6 linked regions of the Xenopus tropicalis genome follow. The protein of the gene in region 6 binds, or shares a complex with, the protein of the main gene of each other region. Links are inferred from orthologs where the notes say so. Each region holds a gene or a part of one and is shown on either strand. Other genes may lie near its edges.

Evidence for each region.
Region 1: iqcg (region 6) and efcab2 share a complex: the UniProt entries of both Homo sapiens proteins name them as parts of the nexin-dynein regulatory complex. The link is inferred for Xenopus tropicalis from reciprocal best matches to the Homo sapiens genes DRC9 and DRC8.
Region 2: iqcg (region 6) and tcte1 share a complex: the UniProt entries of both Homo sapiens proteins name them as parts of the nexin-dynein regulatory complex. The link is inferred for Xenopus tropicalis from reciprocal best matches to the Homo sapiens genes DRC9 and DRC5.
Region 3: iqcg (region 6) and drc7 share a complex: the UniProt entries of both Homo sapiens proteins name them as parts of the nexin-dynein regulatory complex. The link is inferred for Xenopus tropicalis from reciprocal best matches to the Homo sapiens genes DRC9 and DRC7.
Region 4: iqcg (region 6) and ccdc153 share a complex: the UniProt entries of both Homo sapiens proteins name them as parts of the nexin-dynein regulatory complex. The link is inferred for Xenopus tropicalis from reciprocal best matches to the Homo sapiens genes DRC9 and DRC12.
Region 5: iqcg (region 6) and fbxl13 share a complex: the UniProt entries of both Homo sapiens proteins name them as parts of the nexin-dynein regulatory complex. The link is inferred for Xenopus tropicalis from reciprocal best matches to the Homo sapiens genes DRC9 and FBXL13.

The regions. Positions count from the first base shown.
Region 1 is NC_030681.2:51,986,723-51,990,923, forward strand, and holds the start of efcab2 (dynein regulatory complex protein 8), read right to left. Parts: upstream 2,801-4,201; 5' UTR 2,743-2,800; coding exon 2,718-2,742; intron 941-2,717; coding exon 856-940; intron 482-855; coding exon 409-481; intron 1-408. Other genes in the region: splicing factor YJU2, read left to right, coding at 2,923-2,946. UniProt on the Homo sapiens protein: Component of the nexin-dynein regulatory complex (N-DRC), a key regulator of ciliary/flagellar motility which maintains the alignment and integrity of the distal axoneme and regulates microtubule sliding in motile axonemes.
Region 2 is NC_030681.2:2,404,420-2,408,482, forward strand, and holds the start of tcte1 (dynein regulatory complex subunit 5), read right to left. Parts: upstream 2,801-4,063; 5' UTR 2,713-2,800; exon of another isoform or gene 2,684-2,712; intron 828-2,683; 5' UTR 778-827; coding exon 594-777; intron 1-593. UniProt on the Homo sapiens protein: Component of the nexin-dynein regulatory complex (N-DRC) a key regulator of ciliary/flagellar motility which maintains the alignment and integrity of the distal axoneme and regulates microtubule sliding in motile axonemes.
Region 3 is NC_030680.2:76,097,276-76,100,775, forward strand, and holds part of drc7 (dynein regulatory complex subunit 7), read right to left. Parts: intron 2,502-3,500; coding exon 2,343-2,501; intron 1-2,342. UniProt on the Homo sapiens protein: Component of the nexin-dynein regulatory complex (N-DRC) a key regulator of ciliary/flagellar motility which maintains the alignment and integrity of the distal axoneme and regulates microtubule sliding in motile axonemes.
Region 4 is NC_030683.2:80,334,194-80,337,693, reverse strand, and holds part of ccdc153 (coiled-coil domain-containing protein 153), read right to left. Parts: intron 2,791-3,500; coding exon 2,671-2,790; intron 2,371-2,670; coding exon 2,278-2,370; intron 1,442-2,277; coding exon 1,311-1,441; intron 1-1,310. UniProt on the Homo sapiens protein: Component of the nexin-dynein regulatory complex (N-DRC), a key regulator of ciliary/flagellar motility which maintains the alignment and integrity of the distal axoneme and regulates microtubule sliding in motile axonemes.
Region 5 is NC_030679.2:78,014,446-78,017,945, reverse strand, and holds part of fbxl13 (dynein regulatory complex subunit 6), read right to left. Parts: intron 2,847-3,500; coding exon 2,720-2,846; intron 1-2,719. UniProt on the Homo sapiens protein: Substrate-recognition component of the SCF (SKP1-CUL1-F-box protein)-type E3 ubiquitin ligase complex.
Region 6 is NC_030681.2:100,505,729-100,509,744, reverse strand, and holds the start of iqcg (dynein regulatory complex protein 9), read left to right. Parts: upstream 1-1,216; 5' UTR 1,217-1,354; intron 1,355-2,760; 5' UTR 2,761-2,782; coding exon 2,783-2,896; intron 2,897-3,445; coding exon 3,446-3,693; intron 3,694-4,016. UniProt on the Homo sapiens protein: Component of the nexin-dynein regulatory complex (N-DRC), a key regulator of ciliary/flagellar motility which maintains the alignment and integrity of the distal axoneme and regulates microtubule sliding in motile axonemes.

The sequences.
Region 1 (4,201 bases), about 49 Mb from region 6:
AATGAAAACTGGTATATTTTGTATAGGATGCCTAATGTGTCTATATATTGATGTTCATTTATAGTTGCTCAGAGTTGCCATACTATTTTTTGTTTAGAAAATGTAACATTTTAGAAACAGACTTTAATAAAACAGTGCCCTCTATTGGCTGAACATGCTAACAAAGACTCGCAGAATTCTTGTTGCCTTTAACAGGCAAAAACTTTCTCAGCTACATCTTAAACGTGGGAGTTATTTTACACAGCAAGATAAGACATACAAAGGTTTTATCTCTTCTTAGGCAATAATAGGTCAGAATAAATATAAAAATATTTTTACTTTTACAGCTGCAATTTTTCAGTTTTTATTGATATGGGCACAATAAGTGCATATAGTTCTGTACTCTTTAACTTGTTTTTAAAACCTTACCTCTGCAATCATATCATGGAGTTCGCCTTCTGTTGGGCAACATTCTAAAGACCTTATGATTGTTCCAATCTCTCTGTTACAAAAGTAGCACAGTTAATGCATGAAACTTTAAAATAAAACAGGGTTAGGGTTAGCTTTTATATCCTGTTAATGTAAAAAAAATCTTAATTAGTCTAATAGCTTTAAAAAATAATAAATAAAATAAATAATGTGCATATTGTATACTTTTTTTAATGAGAACTCTTGACAAAGTAAGGTTTTGCTTGTTTAGTGTGTTGTTTTTTTTTACACAATACAAAGAAAATGATTACCAAAGCACACACACTTTTGAGATTGCATTAAATAATAAAAATGGCAGCTTTAGGAACTGAAAGCTTGTACAGCTGTCTTTCTCCTGTTTACCCAGCATTCTACAAAAAAAAACTACAGGGAAAATGTTATGTTTACCTGACATCAACAGTTTTGTTACATTCATGGTCAAAAACCTCAAAGGCTTCTGTAATTTTTTTCTGTAAATCTGTCACTAGAGATTCTGAAAAAATATGTGTAAGAAAATAATTAGATGCATTAATGGATTAGCAGGCATAGTGACATGCTTTACAGTTATACACTGTTTCCATTACTAATATGACTATTTGAGCTCCATCTGTGTGGAGAACCATCTGTCACCACTTCAAGTGCAACGGATCACCTCTTTAGCACACACAAAGATTTTGGCATGAAAATACATATATTTATATGTCACATGCCTGTCAGTGCACACACAGGTTCAGAAAGAGAATGGTGGTGCATTGCCTATTCTCAGATTGCGCTGAAACAGCCTTAGAACCAGGGCCGCCGCCAGGGAGGACAGTCCTGGGCCCGGTGGGTTTTGAGGTTTAAGGGGGGCCCGGCCGTGCTGCTGTGAGAGCTGCAGAATCGGGTAGCAAAGGACAGGAACCTGGGTGCCTGTATCTCCTTTACTGCTCATTTACCACAGAACTCTAAATCCTGGTAATTCTGCATGGGGATTGGATGGGTCCCTTCCAGCCCATTCAATCACCATGCACCTTTTCCGGGACTTAAACTTTATTGGCAAATGAGCTTACAGAAAGCTGTATGAGATAATAAGAAGCTGGCACTGGAGCGCTAGTCCTGTGTTCTGAAGGCTGCTGGTCACTGACTGCAGGGGGCCCTGGTAATCCAAGTGCAGCGTGGCCTGCGCTCCTATGACCATAAAAAACACCAGGACAACTATTTGCCCTCAAGGCTGCCCTGTACGGTGGTATTCTCTGTTGCTCATATACAGTATGTCTGTTCACACCATAACCTAAACGCTTGAATTAAGGAAATGGATTAATTGGCTTTGGCACTGACTATAATGGATAGAAAACAGAACATAAGCTACTAGCTTTTTTAACACACATTAAAAATGTAATTTGGTGCTTTTTTTTGCATTTATTACTTTTACAGTTTTCCTATATCTTGCACTGATCAGAATAACTTACTTCATTACAGCAACTTATAGTAGCTCATTGTCTCTTGCTTACATTTCAGGGTTTGTTTTTAGCCAACAGTATTGAGATGAGGTATAATAGTAATGGGTGCTAAATTCCAAAGTTTTGATTATAACTATCTTGCACAGAAGCCAATCCTAGTAACAGGGATGTGACTGGTGTGATCAGTACAATTTTAGGATATCCTTAGGTACACACCTACATACCTACACCTGCACGGCCCCCTTACGTTATCAGAGAATGGGAATTGCAGTACATTTTTTAAGGGGAAGTAAAGTGAAAAATCTAAGAGCCCTTATGGTGCCAGGTTCTTTATGAAAAAGACAATATTTTTTAATATAAATTTATTAAAAAAATCCATACAGGTTTTTTTTTTGTTTAACATAAATATAATCCCTTGCCTTTGATTCCCCCCCTTCACTTCACTAGGTCTGATGTACTGATCGAACAAAAGCTTAGATGCCCACTGGCTGGACAACAGATCCTGCTAATTGTGTTGTATGGGGCCTGTGAGTTCTGATGGCAGCCCTGCCTAGGATTATAGCACATTCTGCTGCCTGCAGTATATCAATACTAAAATTCTATTCCAAATTGTACCAATAGGTTAATTGATACTCTATCTAAAATGCACCCAGTATTTTAGTCACCCATAAAGATGAACAGGCGATTATTTGTAGAATGTACTTTACTCGTTTCTATTGATTTTCTAACAGGGTTCAGACCAAGTCTCTGTTAATTTCCCCTTCTCCTTCCCTCTCCTCGTCTCGCTATTTTTATCTGTTTTTTACATTTTGTTATGGAGCATTAACTTACCAGCGGCCTCCTTCTCATCAGTCATTTTTGTATCTGGTTGCTAGGTGACTGCACAACCCAAGTCATTTGACCACCTGGTGGCGCTGAGATGACGTGCGTGAATATAAAACACTTCCTAGCTGCTTGTTCCTGCGAGCGGCTGGAGCGTGACGTCATTGATCTGCGCCATTTGGAAAATACAGCTACAGAGGAGTGAAGAGTAACAATGTCTGAGCGGAAAGTCTTAAATGTACGTAATAGTAAGAAGGGACTTGGGGAAAGGGACAGGAGGCGCTTGGTTAAGGGATAGACCGGTTGAAGATATGTAAACAGCACTCACTAATAAAGACGTGGTGCGTCAGTAAAAACTCTGAGGATTGTGTTATAAAAGGTGCAAAATTCTGTACATGACTTGTTACCTAATGCAACCAATCAGCAAGTAGCATTTGCTGGTCACTTTTTTTTAACGCAAAATATGGCTTTCTTCACCCTGGCATACTTGTAACTTTTATTACGTATGAGGGATATTACATATGTTACATGTTATATAATTAATACTAAGAGAAGTTATCAAAGTAGTAAAGGCTGAAGTGAAGACAACTCTGCTGGGTCAGTAGTTCCAGCATTCCACTCTGTCAGCTTCAGGGGTAGGCTGCAAGGTCACCAGTATGAAATTCAATTATTATATTGTACATTTAAAGCAAGACAAATCTTGCTTCCTATGCCAGAAGCATCTTGTTTAAAAAGCTTGGTCATTCCACATACGTGCAGAGTTCAGCTAAAATGCATAACTATTATAATCATAATAAACGTTCTCTGGCAAAATCTGGCTAGTGTGCAGTAACAGGCGGATTACACATGGGGCAGCTAAATCAGCATGTCCCCTGTGTAGCAAAATGGTTTGTATGATATGGGCCTAGAGCTAACAGCGATGGCACTGGAAACTGGTTAACACAGAATATAGTCAGTTTATAGTGCGTACTACTAATATCAGTTGTCAGGGTCACGTTAAAAAACATGCTGAAGGTACTTTGATGTCTATGTTATGAAGATGTAAACTGTAATTAAAAGCCCAGCTTATGAATTCTTACATTTCTTGCTATATGTAATGACACCTATATATGTACAGATATATGAAGACACTGCTGTATCAGCCATGAGTATCCAGGAAATAAATTGTCACTTAACTGAGGAAGATCTAGGCCTTACCCTTAGATCTTAGGTCTTACACTAACTGGCTTGCAGACTTGGTCCCCCTAGCCACTTGGTCAGTTTAGGTACCACTGATATAGATGACACATAATAACATAGTAAGTTAGGTTGAAAAAGGACATATGGCCACCAAGTTAAACGTAATGCTTATATATAACTTGCATAACTGCTAGTTGATCCAGTGGAAGGCACAAAACCCCATCTGAAGCCTCTCTAATTTGCTGCAGAGGGGGAAAAATTCTTTCCTGACTCCAAGATGGCAATCGGACCAGTCCCTGGATCAACTTGTACTA
Region 2 (4,063 bases), about 98 Mb from region 6:
CCCAATATTTCCAGTACCCAAACAGCCCCCCCAGCCCAATAAATAGTGACTGTCCCTGGTATAAGATGGGGGAGGAAAAGCAAATTCACCAAGTACCAATGGAATAGGGGCCCGTGCCCACCCATTGCCCACCCATTGCCTACACATTGGGAACCCATTGCCCACCCATTGCCTACACATTGGGAACCCATTGCCCACCCATTGGCCACCCATTGCCCACCCATTGGCCACCCATTGCCCACCCTTTGCCCACCCATTGCCTACACATTGGGAACCCATTGCCCACCCTTTGCCCACCCATTGCCTACACATTGGGAACCCTTTGGCCACCCATTGCCCACCCATAGCCCACCCATTGTGAACCCATCGCCCACCCTTTGCCCACCCATCGCCCACCCATTGGGAACCCATCGCCCACCCTTTGCCCACCCATAGCCCACCCATTGGGAACCCATCGCCCACCCTTTGCCCACCCATTGGCCACCCATTGCCTACACATTGGCCACCCATTGCCCACACATTGGCCACCCATTGTCTACACATTGCCCACCCATTGCCCACACATATCTGCCCGGGGCCCTAGAGCCACTTACGTGCAAAGTTCGTGACGATGTGCTGCAGGCAGAGGTCGCTGAGCAGGGGGACAATGGCCAACGACCATGTTGGATCTTCTGCAATAATTCTGCGCATCCTTCTGGGGTCGGCGGCCGGGTTTCTTTGCCCCACTGGTAACGGCGCCGGCACCAAACCTCTTACACTGGGAGGGGCCTCAATCATCTTGCTGAGCCAATGGGCAGTGAGTTGTGGAACTGTATATGCTTTTACCCCTGTGAGTTAGGACAGAGAGATAAGAGGGTGCTTAGGGCCCGCATACCCGGAACCCACAGGGTTAGACTGTAAGGGCCGGTGCTTAGGGCCCACACACTGGGAACCCATAAGGTTAGACTGTAAGGGCCGGCGCTTAGGGCCCACACACCCGGAACCCACAGGGTTAGACTGTAAGGGCCGGTGCTTAGGGCCCACATACCCGGAACCCACAGGGTTAGACTGTAAGGGCCAGTGCTTACGGCCCACACACTGGGAACCCACAGGGTTAGACTGTAAGGGCCGGCGCTTAGGGCCCGCATACCCGGAACCCACAGGGTTAGACTGTAAGGGCCGGTGCTTAGGGCCCACACACCCGGAACCCACAGGGTTAGACTGTAAGGGCCGGCGCTTAGGGCCCGCATACCCGGAACCCACAGGGTTAGACTGTTAGGGCCGGCGCTTAGGGCCCACATACCCGGAACCCACAGGGTTAGACTGTAAGGGCCGGCGCTTAGGGCCCGCATACCCGGAACCCACAGGGTTAGACTGTTAGGGCCGGCGCTTAGGGCCCACATACCCGGAACCCACAGGGTTAGACTGTAAGGGCCGGCGCTTAGGGCCCGCATACCCGGAACCCACAGGGTTAGACTGTAAGGGCCGATGCTTAGGGCCCACACACCCAGAACCCACAGGGTTAGACTGTAAGGGCCGGTGCTTAGGGCCCACACACTGGGAACCCACAGGGTTAGACTGTAAGGGCCGGTGCTTAGGGCCCGCATACCCGGAACCCACAGGGTTAGACTGTAAGGGCCGGCGCTTAGGGCCCACATACCCGGAACCCACAGGGTTAGACTGTAAGGGCCAGCGCTTAGGGCCCACATACCCGGAACCCACAGGGTTAGACTGTAAGGGCCGGTGCTTAGGGCCCACATACCCGGAACCCACAGGGTTAGACTGTAAGGGCCGGTGCTTAGGGCCCGCATACCCGGAACCCACAGGGTTAGACTGTAAGGGCCGGTGCTTAGGGCCCACACACTGGGAACCCACAGGGTTAGACTGTAAGGGCCGGCGCTTAGGGCCCACATACCCAGAACCCAGAACCCACAGGGTTAGACTGTAAGGGCCGGTGCTTAGGGCCCACACACCCAGAACCCACAGGGTTAGACTGTAAGGGCCGGTGCTTAGGGCCCACACACCCAGAACCCACAGGGTTAGACTGTAAGGGCCGGTGCTTAGGGCCCGCATACCCGGAACCCACAGGGTTAGACTGTAAGGGCCGGTGCTTAGGGCCCACACACTGGGAACCCACGGGGTTAGACTGTAAGGGCCGGTGCTTAGGGCCCACATACCCGGAACCCACAGGGTTAGACTGTAAGGGCCGGTGCTTAGGGCCCACACACTGGGAACCCACAAGGTTAGACTGTAAGGGCCGGTGCTTAGGGCCCACATACCCGGAACCCACAGGGTTAGACTGTAAGGGCCGGCGCTTAGGGCCCACATACCCAGAACCCACAAGGTTAGACTGTAAGGGCCGGTGCTTAGGGCCCACATACCCAGAACCCACAGGGTTAGACTGTAAGGGCCGGCGCTTAGGGCCCACATACCCGGAACCCACAGGGTTATTATTATTATTATTATTATAAGGGTTAGACTATAAGGGCCTTTGTGTTTATTTGGGGTGAGTAGAACATATACACATATAAATATTTCTTTGCACTGAATGCCTTGTAGGTAACAACTCGCTTTACGGCAGGGGCCCCACACTGAGGGTGAGACACAGGGCATTAGGGCTGAACATATAATACAATGTGAGAGGTAAGGGAGCTTGGCTGGGGGCTCCCGTATTACCCTGCCCCCCATACCCCTACCTACCTACCTACAGCCAATCCCCAGGCACAGACTTACTGTAGCACCGCGGTACCGGCTCTCCCCTGGCTGCTACCGGCCGGAGTTTACCGTTCCCATGGCAACACAGGCAGCGCTATTTCCCCGCACGGATTCTGCCCCGGAGCGCCCCCTGGCGGGTACCGCGTAACATGATCCGCACTTTAACCCATTCGCCGCTCTCTGTTCCGGCACCGAGGGCTGAAAAGGGTCGGACCGGGGGTTGGGGCAAGTTGCTATTGTCTGGCCCCCCAGGTCTGGCAGGTCCGGGTACTTTAGCCCCCCTAATACTGACCCATCTCTTCCCACCCCTCCCTTAACCTCTTAACTGCCCCCTCTCCCATACGGAGCCTTCTCTGCCCTCCCTTCCCTAACACTGACCCCCAACTGCAACGCCCCCCCCCCCCCCCCCCCCCCCAGCAGAGATCTGTAAAAAATCTGCCATATTGTTACCCCTAAGTTTGCCCATAGCCTGTACAGAGAGATACCGTAAAACTATGGCACATAGGGATTCCCCTGTACTAAGCACAATTCAGCAGGAACAGCCCCCTAAGTTTGCCCATAGCCTGTACAGAGAGATACCATAAAACTATGGCACATAGGGATTCCCCTGTACTAAGCACAATTCAGCAGGAACAGCCCCCTAAGTTTGCCCATAGCCTGTACAGAGAGATACCATAAAACTATGGCACATAGGGATTCCCCTGTACTAAGCACAATTCAGCAGGAACAGCCCCCTAAGTTTGCTCATAGCCTGTACAGAGAGATACCATAAAACTATGGCACATAGGGATTCCCCTGTACTAAGCACAATTCAGCAGGAACAGCCCCCTAAGTTTGCTCATAGCCTGTACAGAGAGATACCATAAAACTATGGCACATAGGGATTCCCCTGTACTAAGCACAATTCAGCAGGAACAGCCCCCTAAGTTTGCTCATAGCCTGTACAGAGAGATACCATAAAACTATGGCACATAGGGATTCCCCTGTACTAAGCACAATTCAGCAGGAACAGCCCCCTAAGTTTGCTCATAGCCTGTACAGAGAGATACCATAAAACTATGGCACATAGGGATTCCCCTGTACTAAGCACAATTCAGCAGGAACAGCCCCCTAAGTTTGCTCATAGCCTGTACAGAGAGATACCCTAAAACTATGGCACATAGGGATTCCCCTGTACTAAGCACAATTCAGCAGGAACAGCCCCCTAAGTTTGCTCATAGCCTGTACAGAGAGATACCATAAAACAGGAGGATTTGGATAAAAACCTTTATTTGAGGGTGGGTCCCAAAGTATGGGGGTGCAGAGGAGGTAGTTTCCTAGAAGAAGCCAATGCCATAGGTCAGACAGAGAAAATGAAATAGTGCAGCCT
Region 3 (3,500 bases), on a different chromosome or scaffold from region 6:
AAGCATTTTAGGGTAAAAAAAGCACTCCCATCTACACTATTGCAAAGTATGCCTGGAATTCATTGGGAACAGCAAGAGGTAGTTGGGAGGTTCACTTTTTAAACCAGCAGCAAATCCACTTAGTCTCACATTAGCTGTAGGTCAGTCTATGTATGGCCCATCTTTAGCCACTCCAAACAAAAAAGTCACCCTCCGCCTATGCACACCCTTACATCCATATGCCACTTCCCCTGTGGATATCACAGCAACCCCCAGCATATAATTACACACCTTAGGGTAGTCTTACACAGGGAGATTAAGCGCTCACGATAAATTTTCCCAATTGCTGGCGACTAATCTCCCCGACATGCCATTCCACCGGCAAGAATGTAAATCGCAAGAAAGCGATGCCTATACCATCTCACCGGCGATTTACATTCTTGCCAGTGGGATGGCATGCTGGGGAGATTAGTCATCAGCAAGTGAAGATTTATCATGGGTGCCTAATCTCCCTGTGTGCCACTGCCCTTAGGAACCATATAATGACTATTTACAAATGCTTACAAACCCCTGCCAGGTTCACCTCCCTTAGGCAGAGTATGGCACACACATGCAGTATAGGGCAGACAGAGTATGGCACACACAGGCAGGGTAGGGCAGGCAGAGTATGGCACATATAGGCAATATAGGGCCAGGCATAGTATGACACACACAGGCTATATAGCAGGCAGAGAATAGCACACACAGGTAGTATAGAGCAGGCAGAGTATGGCACATACAGGCAGCATAGGTCAGGCAAAGTATGGCACACACAGGCAGTATAGGGCAGGCAGAGCATGGGCCTGCAAGCTGTCAATCGGACAGCAATGCCTTAAACCCTCTGTGTGGCCCCCCACCTGTCTGGCTGCTTTGATGGCTTACTCTTGTGTAAGCTTTAAATGGTATCAGTACTGTGATTAACTGCCCCCCCTGCATGGTTCACACCTCAGATTCAGGCTGTAAACCCTCTGTATTGTTTAAAAATGTAATCCCCTGTGTTGTTCACACCTTTTAATCTCTGCATTGTTCACCCCCTGCAGTGTTCACACCTCAGTCTCAAACTGTAATCACCCACATTGTTTCCCTGTTCACACCTCAGACTGTAGAAGCAGTAAAAACCCACAAATAATCCCTGCACACTACAAAAAGAACATATACTGAGGTGGTACTGCAATTAAAAAGTTTTTTAATATATAGTTATTGTGCAGACTGTAGGAGCAGTGCCAGCATTGTGTCACTGTATGCTGCCTGTGTGTTCCATACACACAGGCAGCATAGGGCAAGCAGAGTATGGCACACACAGGCAGAATAGGGCAGGCAGAGTATGGCACACACAGGCAGCATAGGGTAGGCAGAGTATGGCACACACAGTCAGGGTAGGGTAGGCAGAGTATGGTACACACAGGCAGGGTAGGGCAGGCAGAGTATGGTACACACAGGCAGGGTAGGGCAGGCAGAGTATGGCACACACAGGCCAAGTATGGCACAAACCAGCCAAGAATGGCACACACAGTCAAAGTATGGCACACGCAGGCAGGGTAGGAAAGGCAGAGTATGGCACACACAGGCAGGGTAGGGAAGGCAGAGTATGGCAGGTTTGTGCTGTACTACAACCATTAATATGGGTATGGTCATGTGATAACACGGGTGTGGTTTCAAGTGGGTGCAGTTTCAAAAAGGGGAGTGGTCAAAACTGGCTTCCATTATCGCCCCTCCACCACGTAGGTCGGAAAAATTCCGGCCCTTGGTACCACAGAAGTTGGACAGCACTGCCTTAAAGGATACAATTAAACTGGATCACATCATGTTTCATGTATATGGCTCCCTTTTCCAAAGAGTTTACAGGGGAAGATGATCATAAAATGATATGTTAGAATGAAGTCTAAGACAATCAGCATTATTTTTGCTTTGCTGCTTCAAAGTTCAGGTGACTGAGGAGACAATACACGACAAGAGATAGTCAGTCATTTTGGCCAATTCAGACCACAGTGCCGGGCCAAGCCGGCCAGGGGCCCTAGGCAACCTGGTCGGCCTGGAATTTAAAGGCAGAGAGCATGTTTGCACCTCCTACATTAATGCCACACATTTTCTAAAAAGTGCCTTTGACCACAAATGATAAATGAAATATTTTTCAGCTGCTGTTAGAATTTTGAGTACATGTTGCATCCAGATACATTTATACTAAAAATGGATTTTTAGAATATTTAGGGGAAAGGGGGTATTATTAATGCTATTTGGTATCAAAATCATTTAAAATAACTTGCTTTTGCAAAGAAAAGTCATCAGAAAAGGTCCTTATACTTACTGACTACAGTCCATCTTACCTCCTTAAGCCTAGTCTCCTCCTCCTGCTCATTGCGCAGAGCTTCCTCCATTTTAGCCTGTTTCTTGGCTTCTTGCTGTACTGCAAACTTACTAATCAGCTGACGAGGGGGCTTCACAGTATACTTCTTTAACGGCTTTTGGGGGATTTCCCAGGAGCTCTGCAATAAGACACAGAGCACTGAGATGTAATCATATAAGGTTATAAAAAAGGAAATATAAGTAAAATTAAGAGAACTTTAAATTACAACAGCAAATAATACTCTTAGGGTGAAGACACACAGAGCTACTAGTAGCAGCTACTTATCACGGCTACTAAAATAGACAATGCTGATCATTTACTGATAATTGTCTCTACGTGTGTTTGAGCAGAGGCAGTTCTTAGCATTGTCTATGGCAGGGTATTTACTGGCATTCAGTAGCCGTGACAAGTAGCTGCTACTAAGTAGCTCCGTGTGTCTTCACCTTTAAGGGCTCTGGCACACGGGGAGATTAGTCGCCCGCGACAAATCTCCCTGTTCGCGGGCGACTAATCTCCCCGGATTGCCATCCCACCGGTGAAAATGTAAGTCGCCGGTGGGATGGCACACACTGCGCAGGCGATTTCGGCAAATCGACGAAGTTGCCTCGCGAGGCATTTTCAGCGATTTGCCAAAATCGCGCCGCCGCGTGTGCCATCCCACTGGCGACTTACATTTTCGCCGGTGGGATGCCAGCTGATGGCAACTCGGGGAGATTAGTCGCCCGCGAACAGGGAGATTTGTCGCGGGCGACTAATCTCCCTGTGTGCCAGAGCCCTAAGGGTGAAGACACACAGAGCTACTAGTAGCAGCTACTTGTTGTGGCTACTAAAATAGACAATGCTGATCATTTACTGATAATTGTCACTACGTGTGTTTTAGCAGAGGCAATTCTCAGTATTGCCCAGTGTGTCTTCACCCTAAAAGTAAAGCTACTGGAATGTCACTTTAATATCAGTTGTTTAATCATAAAAACCTGGCTTTTCTAAACTGCTCTTATTTACCCATTCCCAGTATTCCCTCACAAGAGTGGATCGGTCCTGCATGGCAATGTGACAGCTTCAGCACCCTGACACAGCACTAATACAGCACCGGATAGAGTTCTCATAATAATGGCTTCAGTGTTACAATACCTTATAT
Region 4 (3,500 bases), on a different chromosome or scaffold from region 6:
CACCCTCAATGTCCACCTATATTGTTTGACCCCTGCATGAAGGATTCTTCATACTACTATGTTTTTTTTCCTGTAGTGGAAGTTTTATTGGTTTCTTCTAATGTGGCTCCCATAAGCCAATGGGTCTGGGTGCAGTAGAGTACTTGTAGCTACACCACTGGAAAATGCAAGAGGGGAGAAGTAGGGAATTTTCTGAAAAGAATTACTGTTTATAGTTTTCCTATTAAAACTGACACCTAACTCCCAGGACCCCAATATAGGGTAACATTTACCTGCCCCACTTCCACGCACTTCAGGATATTGCTAGATGAGTTCTAGGGGATATTGTTACAGAGGACGACTGCAAGAATTATGACCTATTAAAGCATGAGATCCACACCAGACATGCTTTTCAGGTACTTGCAACTTAGGCATGCTTTTAATATACAATTCCCATCCAGACCCATAAGGTTATCCGAAAAAACCCTTGAGACTTACCTTCATAGACAAGACCTCTCCTGGTTCTACATTATACCTTCTTTAATAGGTCCCTCTCCCCTTCAAAAAAATAGACTAAATGGCAAAGGGACATACCCACGCTAGAGGATGAGATGTGGTCTGATGCCCTCAAGCTTGTTCCTTATTTATCCATCTCAAAGAGGGATAGATACATACAGATTAAGTTTTAAACAGAGTGTACTCAACAACCCACCGTCTGGCAAAAATTTATAATAATGTGTCTGATCAATGCCCCAAATGCACCGATGGCATAGGCACCATGTTTCATGGCTTCTGGTCTTGTCAGGCTATCCAGAGATTCTGGGGTGAGGTGCTAACATTTCTCAATGAGAAGCTTGGCTTTCCAAACATCCATTCACTCCTATGCTGACTAGGAGTAATAGGTGATATACACATCTGGTCCCACTCCAGAGCATGCTACTTACAACTGCTTTACTATGCTAAAAAAGCCATTCTTATGCATTGGAAATTCTTAGATCCCCCTTCTCTTCAGTTTGTCAAAAGATGGTAGATGATTCCCTTCCAAGCCAAAAACTGATTATTTAGCAAGACGTCCAGAGAAATTCAATGCTATATGGGGAACCTGCTTTGAACAGCAAAATATCTGAATGTATAATATACCTATTTACACACTTTTTGATTTGGGGCCTTTGCCTCACTTTGCTTTCCTTTCCATTCTTCCCTTTTGTTAATTGTATTCCTTGTATTGAAAACTATGCAAAAAGAAAAGCTTTAAAAAAAATTAAAAAAAAACTGACACCCAAATGACATGCAGTGACGCTCCTGCCGTAGCTCAAATAAATTTAACTTACATGCAACAAATTCTCATATTCTGACTCCATGTTTTCCACCTCTCTACGCAGGTGTATAATTTGATCCTCTTTCTCGGATTTTGTGTGCTCCAATTCTTCACGGACTTCCTTTAGCTCTTGCTGAGACTCACCTAAGTGTGATGCATACACAATTACACATTATTGGGCTTGCATTGTAAAGTATGCAAATTGAGGACAGAGCTATTTACTATTGCAGGTTCAACTGTATACACAAAGTGGTTGCGACTTTTCTTGTGCCTTAACACCTATTTGGAATTTGCAGATATAAATGAGATTAAATTGTAATGAATGGGATACCTGAGGGCTCATTTACAGCTGCAAGCGCAATAGACAACTTGCACTTAAACTACTTGGACTTAGAACCGCTTTCATTAAATTTAACTGCGTCATAATGCACTCTTCACACTACCCTCTAGTTGCACTCAGTCCTTCCTGCTTTCCGTTTCAAATCGGGCTCTGCTGCACTTATTGCACGACATTCGCACGCTGAACACCAAAAACGATGCCAACAAATGCTAGAAATTACACCAGACAGACTTTGAAAATATTCAGTGCAACTGCTCCCAATTTGCAACAAGCTGAAGACACAGTTTCATCCATTTTGGCAAATTGGATGCGACTGCAGTAGGTGAGCGCAATTGCGCCAACAAAATCACCCGCATTACAATGACACCAGAATTCTGGAAAAAAAATGCATTGTGGAAAAAAACATGGTAATTGCCCCTGAAATTGCATTTGCACACTGCGTAAAGTAATGAATGCAGATTTTTCCTTATGGACTTTTTCAACCTCAACTACTATGCTACTGTTACTATGTAACTTAACTACGGTGAGCCAAATGAAAGAAGATCTGGAAAACACCAGATTCCATGCATTCTGGATAGATTTCATGTCTCTATAAGTGTGTCTACATTTTATGCCGTCTAGTACTACGCTCCATTCTCACCAAGTTGTAACCTCAGTTCCGCAACCTCCTGTTTCAGGGCCTGGATAGATGCTGAGCTCTGCTGTTCCAAAGCCTGCTGCTGACGTGTCATTTCTAAGGGTGACAGAGAAAAATGAAGCCAGTCAGTACTAAAGGAAAAATTAAACCTGTTATGTAGAGCACAATCTTGACCCAAAATTACAATTTTCATTGTAATATTTTAATTTACATCCACTGAAACCCAGCCATTTCTGGGTGGGTAATAACTACTAATACTGTTTTATGAAACGTCCTAATGTGAGCGATTTATTAGTTAGCTGATTAGTCACCATATGGCCTTGTTTAATTTGAGCCTATATCTTGTCAATTTGAAATTCTATCCTTTGATACCAAAAAGGAAGATCCTTTCCTTACCACTGTATATAGCTTGTTTTTCACTTTTCTCCTCTTCCAGGTCTCCCTGCAGCTCTTGCAGTTTTGCATGCAGCTCCTCTTTGTGTTCCTGAGTTCGCCGTGTTACTTGCCTGCGCAGCGCTGTCAGAAAGGAGAGTCATATGAAGTATTTAACGAATCTTACCAAGGTTGCATGTACAACAGTAAATACTGCTTTTTTTATATATTTCCCCCTGAGCCGCCATTTTGTGATGGTCTTTGTTGCTTCCTCACAGAGTAAAACACACAGTTCTGTTCATTCAGTGGCTGATATAACATCTGCATACCCTTGGTTTGTGTATCAGCACAGTGCCTCATATGAACCAGAGGGTGGAGCTTAGTTCTTAAAATGGCAGTTTTTAAAATTGGGATTATCCAATGGCACATGCTATTAGAAAAGTATATTTTTTTATGAAAAGGTTTTAGTTTTAAGAAACAATGTTTTACATATGTTTATGTGATTTACTTTTAGAGTTTTTCTGGGGGCTCCTTTAGCCCTGAAAATGTAGCGAAATTGAGTTCCCAAAGATATTGTGTTCTGAATATGCCACTGCTGAAAAGATGAAATTCACTATAATCTGTAATTATTCCTATATGTCAGAGGTCCACTTGGGTCTCACCAAAATTGCAAGTAAGCCCTGTAAGTAAATATGGCCCCACAGTTTGAGAAGCACTGGTCTAATTTATTTTACTTAATTAAATACTGACTTTTCTACATTGTTTTTTTTATACCTATGTCCACCTTACATATTTCTGAATTATATATGACAAAAAAATGGCTCCTTGGGGTCTCCCCTACTACTGGTATGTAT
Region 5 (3,500 bases), on a different chromosome or scaffold from region 6:
AGGCAACTCAGGGAGATTAGTCGCCCGCGAACAGGGAGTTTTGTCGCGGGCGACTAATCTCCCCGTGTGCCAGAGCCCTTATGGGGCTTTGGCAGCAGTAAAACTTAATCCAAACAAGTAGCTGACTTGGATTTTTTACTTGTGCTCTGATAATCTTCTTTACTGCTGTGCTGCAAAATTGGAGTGATATTACACCCCCTATCTTCCCCCCAGCAGCTGATCAGCAGAACAATCGGTAGCTGCTATCTTGCTACCTTCTGATCATCACCTGCTGGGAAAAGGAAAGGGGGGGGAGTGATATCACTCCAACTTGCAGCACAGCAGTAAAGTGTGACTGAAAATTATCAGAACACATGTCACATGGCTGTGGCACCCTGGGAAATGAAAAACATGACTAGCCCCATGTGAAATTTAAAACTTAAATATAAAAAAAATCTGTTTGTGCTTTTAAAAACTGATTCAATGCAGGATTCTTCTGAAGAAGCTCTGTTAAAGGAGAAGGAAAAACAAAGTCACTTGGGGGTGCCAAAATGTTAGGCACCCCCAATTGACTTAAACCGCTTACCTTGTACCCTGGGCTGGTGCCCTTGTTCGGAGAGAACAGCACCAGCCCGGGGGTAGCTGCAGCGCTTCCTCCTTCCGTCTTCTAACGCACGCGCAATAGAGTGAAAAGCTGAACTTTAACAGAGAAGTCGGCTTTTCACTCTACTGCACATGCGCCTTTCCTTAGTCCTTCCAAAAGAGAAGGCGGAAGGAGGAAGAGCTGTGCTACAGGTACCCCAGGCTGGTGCTGTTTTCTCCTAACAGGGGCACCATCTCGGGGTACAAGGTAAGCGATTTAAGTCACTTGGGGGTGCCTAACATTTTGGCACCCCCAAGTGACTTAGCCATTCCTTGTCCTTTAACTGATGCGTTTTAAAAGAAAAATGTTTTCCCATGACAGTATTCCTTTAATGAAAAACTTGTATTTATACTGTGTCTAGAATATGCTGCAGTTTGAAGCACTAGCTCATACAGGTTTGCCTGCCATCTACTGATGTTTCATTTATAATTACGGCAAGAAAGCCTTGTTTGACCAGGAATTGTGTAGTTTTGTTCTTTCTGTTTAATGAGCTAAAACGTCTCATAAATTCAGCAATCTGCTTTTTAACTTGTTTATTAATGACCTATGGTGGGCATAGAGAGTACTGTTTCTATTTTTGCTGATGACACTAAATTGTGCAAAACTATAAGTTCCATGCAGGATACTGCCGCTTTGCAGAGCGATTTGACAAAATTAGATAACTGGGCAGCAAACTGGAAAATGAGGTTCAATGTTGATAAGTGCAAAGTTATGCACTTTGGTAGAAATAATATAAACGCAAACTATCTACTGAATGGTAGTGTGTTGGGGGTTTCCTTAATGGAGAAGGATCTAGGGGTTTTTGTTGATAACAAGTTGTCTAATGCCAGGCAGTGTCATTCTGTGGCTACTAAAGCAAATAAAGTGCTGTCTTGTATAAAAAAGGGCATTGACTCAAGGGATGAGAACATAATTTTGCCCCTTTATAGGTCCCTGGTAAGGCCTCACCTTGAGTATGCGGTGCAGTTTTGGGCTCCAGTCCTTAAGAAGGATATTAATGAGCTGGAGAGAGTGCAAAGACGTGCAACTAAACTGGTTAAGGGGATGGAAGATTTAAACTATGAGGTTAGACTGTCGAGGTTGGGGTTGTTTTCTCTGGAAAAGAGGCGCTTGCGAGGGGACATGATTACTCTGTACAAGTACATTAGAGGGGATTATAGGCAGTTGGGGGATGTTCTTTTTTCCCATAAAAACAATCAACGCACCAGAGGTCACCCCTTTAGATTAGAGGAAAGGAGCTTCCATTTGAAGCAGCGTAGGTGGTTTTTCACGGTGAGGGCAGTGAGGTTATGGAATGCCCTTCCTAGTGATGTGGTAATGGCAGATTCTGTTAATGCCTTTAAGAGGGGCCTGGATGAGTTCTTGATCAATCAGAATATCCAAGGCTATTGTGATACTAATATCTACAGTTAGTACTAGTGGTTGTATTTATAGTTTATGTATGTGAGTGTATAGATTGGTAGGTGTGGGTTGGGTGTGCTGGGTTTACTTGGATGGGTTGAACTTGATGGACACTGGTCTTTTTTCAACCCTATGTAACTATGTAACTATGTAACTATGTAATCTGCTGCCTCCTTATCAGGAGTGGAAGGCAGCATAAGAGGATTTGGCTTTTTTTGCCATCAGAAATAAGCAACTGATATGCTATTAGCATTAGAGATAACATTTATCAACTTGTAATCTAAACTAAACCTGAAGGTAAAATGCATACCAAAGGGTTTATGTAAGAAAAGGCACAAAGTTTGTCAGGGAGCAATAACCCATAGCAACCAATCAGCAGGAAGCATTTACTGGTCATCTGTTGTTTGTTAAAGCAAACATCTTATTGGTTGCTATGAGTTACTGCACCTGGGCAAACTTATTGCCTTTTATTACATAAGGGGGTATAAGAATAATAAAAAGGTGTTTTAGGAGTAGTTACATAGTAACATAGTAAGTTGGGTTGAAAAAAGACATACGTCCATCACGTTCACCTTGTATTCATAATATGTATGTTCATTATCATGTTAAGCAGTAGGTTCTGCTGTACCAACATTTTCCATATATCTTGGGATATTAATGGAAAAATAAGGAAAGAAAATATTTGTGCTAACATACCTGGTCTGTAATATTTGTCCCAGACAGATCTATGGAAATAAGTGAGGCCATGTTTCCTAGTAGCTCAAAGCCAGAATCTGTCAAATTTTCACAGTAGCGAAGACTTAGGTAGGTTAAATTATGACACCTAAAATAAAAATAGGAATACAGAAAACATTTAAAATCTGAATCCAGTAAAAAATATAATCAATAAAGGAACTCTATAAATACGACTGCAGTATAGTAACTGACAACATAGTAACTTTCACAACAACAGCCAGAATGTAAGCTGATGTAAACAAGATTCACTGTTATATGTACACTCTGGGTGCTTAAGCTATAAAAACGTAAAATACCCCTGTATATATTAATCATTATTCATGTAGCTAAGGTTTAGCATAAGGAATACTGATTGATGATTTATGATACATATATAAATCTCAGATCAGTTTAGATACCTTGAATATAATTATGGGTCTTTAGGAAACGTTTGGAAGGAAGGGGAGAGTCTGATGGGACAAGGCATAGAGACAGGCAGAAGCCCGGAAGAAGTCTTGCAGTTGGGAATGGGATGAGAGGAGAAGAGAGGCGAAGGTCAGAGGCAGAAAGTTGCGTGAAGGAGTGTATTGTGGTATTAGAGCTAAGATATAGGGAGGAGCATCAATAGTAAGGGCCTTATATGTAAGTGTTAGTAATTTGTATTCGATTCTAGAGGAGATTGGGAGGCAGCAAAAAGATATGCATCAGTGAGTGACAGATGTGGAACAGTGAGATAGATGAAGTCTGGCAGCAGCATTTAGAG
Region 6 (4,016 bases):
TACACAGTTATGCATACACAGTTATGCAGACAGTTTCATTTGCAATCACATGTAACACTATGTCATTAAGAGTATTAATGATTCACTCCAAGTATTGGAGACCTTATTCTGGGTTAACATTTAAAGAGAAAGAGGTGGATCTTTTTCTCCAAGAGGCACGCCACAATCTTACCTGCATTTCCCAGGAGCCCTTATACCTATAGTCTTACCTGTGCACAATGCAGTAAAAAGTACCTATACTGTGCCTGTGCAAGGGATCCAGGTAAATACAGATAGATGGTGGTGTGACAGTTAGAAAGATGCCCACGGCCAACATATTGCTTCCCCTAGTAAATAAGACTACTTGTCCTTTTAAAGAAAATCTAGGACAAGATCAATATTATCTTTATGACACCTCTCTTAAATGAACAATAAAAACATCTTTCCAAATATGTCATATGAAACAAACATTTTCCCTTAACATGTGTGACTTTGCAATAGCAAAAAGCATGATCAGGAAGCACATCTCCAGCAGGCACACACCCGAGTGACCCCACAATTACCCGCTTACAAAGGCAGGACTTACGATCCTAAATTGGCTTTCCAGCAGCAGCTGACTTCTATAATAGAACTATACGAATAGGTGGCGGCAGAAAACCTATAGACAAGTACAAGCCAAGCTGCCCAGCACTTCAATTAGCCAAGCTTATTCCCCGTTTGTATTAAGGGACAACTACTACACAAAACTCGGCCTCTCAGCGAAGGGAAACTTCCTTAGGTGTCTGGCACAACTGTCGCCAAAAGAACAACTCGAAAACAAGTTTGCTGCAGTTGTACAGCTGCGAAAATAAGCCGGCAATGGGAAAATCCTATCAGCCTAGCTCCAATGCAATCCTCTCCGTATCCCAAACATCCCGTCTCCCACAGGCTCAAAGCCAGGCCCGGCAAATAACGCTCAAGTAGACGTCCCCGTTCATGTCGGTATTTCTCTCATACGACCCATTTAACTGTCCATTTTTCAGTATTAATATTTGACTATACACTAAGCTCACCCGCACTGGTAACCAAGATGGAGGAAAAGGAAGGGGGAGCGCTTTGCATGACGGGAAATTATGAACGTAGCATGCGTGAGGTGTCCATGTGACTGCCTAATGTAAAAGGGTAAAAAAAAAAAATAAATTAAACCCAATTTCAGGGCAATGAACTATGATCTCTAAGAGAATTGATTTTAAATCTAAAATCGTGAGATAAATGCAATAAATGTTAAAAATGATATATAACCGGCGGTACGAAGACGAATAGGACGCAAGGACTCTCGGGCAGGGTACGATCCCCATGGCAACTGTATGTAAACATTGGGTGTTCTGACGCACAGGTAACTTGCAAATCAGTTTTCGCAAAATCTGTATTGGCATTATATATTTTACATTGTACGTGAATGTGCATATAGCTACATAGTTGGGGTAAAAAGGGATGCAGTGTGTGTTTGGTAGACGTTACCATACCTGAGTAGTAGTAATACAGGGACTTAAGAAACATACACTGGCTAAGATACAGGCTCCCTGTTCTATAGTAAATGCTTTTTATTTGGCTGGATATAATACTTTAATGGATAAAACATAAAATTCTAATTGCATTATCCTTTAGTTGTATTACAAGAAAAGTAAGCAGTTTGTTATGTAGGGATGCCCCTCTTCCAATACTACCAGTGTCCACTCTCAGCTGCCCTTCCAATCCATACACCAACCCATTTGCATTCACATTTGGGCAAGAAAAAGTCACCCAGTTGTCCGTTATAAACACATTTGTGTCTTTGAAAACATCTGAATTGATCCATCTTATATACTTCCTTATGAAATTGCATTCAGTAGGATGGTGCAATGGAATGTTCTAGGTTTCCCTGGTCAGTTCTTAATCTGGAAATGCTATTGTTAGTACTGTGTTTGGAGTTTCCTTATTGGCTCAAAGGGGACCTGCCACCCAGACATAAAGTCAAAGTAATTTTTAAATTTAACATGAAACCCAAATTTTTTTAATGAAAACATCCATACCTGTTATAATGGTATTTCAAATCTTCAAATTTGTCTCTGTGCATATGAGTTGTTAGCAGTGGTTTGGGCAGCACACTAGTCATTAAATGCATAGTTTGCGAAGAACATAGACACACATATAATCAGGGCACATGCTCTTCGCGAACTATACTAATTGTATACATACAAGTGCACCCAGGTGTTAAACTATAGTGCGAGGTTAACTTTATCAATAGTCATTAAATGCAAGCATGAGCACCTAAAACAAATTTGGGCTCATGGAGACTTCTGGGAAATGTAGTATGGGCTCTGCACATACAGGTTGCTATGGCAACAGAGCGCTATTAAAGAGGAATTGCCTCTTTGTCAATCTCCTTTGTGCTTTTGCTGTTTACTATGCCCCATGGTTGATAATAGCATTATAATTTTTTTTACCTTAGCACATTCTAATTATTACAAGCTTTTTGGTGCCTTTTTGGGCTTATTAGGGTGGGGAAGGTAGATTTTCACTGTTTGTGTGTGGATACAGAAATCCTTAAGAAAGGTTACACTGTAGTGACCAAAACACTGAACTTTGCACATGATTTTGTAAATATATTTGATTTATTTGCTAAAGATCCATGCTTGCAGAACTTTTTGGGGCTTAGTGTTTGCTTATCTTGCATTGTTTGGTAGGCACCTTTTAAAAAGTGTTTTATCCAATTTGCAGCAAACTAAAGGCTTTGCATTCTGACACATTCATACCTTGCAGGTCAAGTAAAACTCCTTGAAAGATGACATTGTCTATGCTGGATGCACTTCGGGCGTGCACTGTACTGGAGGACAGCCTAGATCAACTCTCCGTTCTGGGAAACATCATGCCTGTATCTTACCATGGCCGCAGTGATGTTAGTGACCATAAACATTTGGCTGTGATTGGGTATTTTGTGGAATCTAACTTTTGATGTTGAATATCCTAAAAAGTCCTGCAAATGTAACCTGGTTATAAAGTTAGCATATATTATCTAGTGCAGGGATCCCCAACCAGTGGCTCGTAAGCCACATGTTTTTCACCAACCTGTTGGATGTTGCTCCCAGTGGCATCAAAGCAGGTGCTTATTTTTAAATTCTTGGCTTGGAGGAAAGTTTTGGAAGCATTGTAGGCTGCCAGACCACATAGGAGCTACCAGTAGCCAATGACAGCCCAAAATAGACACCCCCTGGACCTTTTTGCGTGCTTGTGTTGCTCTCCAACTTTTGATTTTTGCATGTGGCTCATGGGTGGAAAAAGGTTGGGGATCCCTGATCTAGTGCAATACAAGATGCTCTGGGAACAAATATTTTCTGAGCAAACATTTATATTAAAGCAGCGTCGTTCGGTCTGGAATATTTGTAGTGACTGTTTTTGCCTTTCTTTATAATTAGTCGGCTTTCTAATGTCTTGTGTGTAATTTTAGATAGTTGGAAATGAAATTGGAAAGATTCTAAAAACACAGAGGCAGCTGGAAGGAAAATTTGAAGACCTCATGGGGAAACGAGCAGAAGTTCGAACAACCTCTTTCCCTCTGTCCAGTAAGATGCTGGATCTGACAAAGCAGGTGGAAGAAACTAGCGGAAATCTAAAATTGACCAATGAGCAGTTTATTCGAGTAGTGAAACAGAGTCCTCTAACTGCAGATAACCTCAGGAAGGTCCAAGCCGACAGGTGAGACAGATGCTTCTTTTTGTTTGTAAGCGTCATGGCAGACGGGGAGATTAGTCACTGCGCGACAAATCTCCCTTGTCGCGGGCAGCTAATCTCCCCGAAATGCCATCCCATTGGCTAGATTGTAAATCGCCGGTGGGATGGCATACACAATTGTATTAAAGGGGAAGGTCGATACATTGATAATCTAAGCTGTAGTTTAATAAAGTCTGAGGCTGATGCCACACGTGGTGTAGGGCTGATTTTTTCAGCCCTACGCCTGCTACTTGTGCCTGCACCCGAATGAATGGAATACGCTCAGGGGCAGGCACATGTAGCCGATA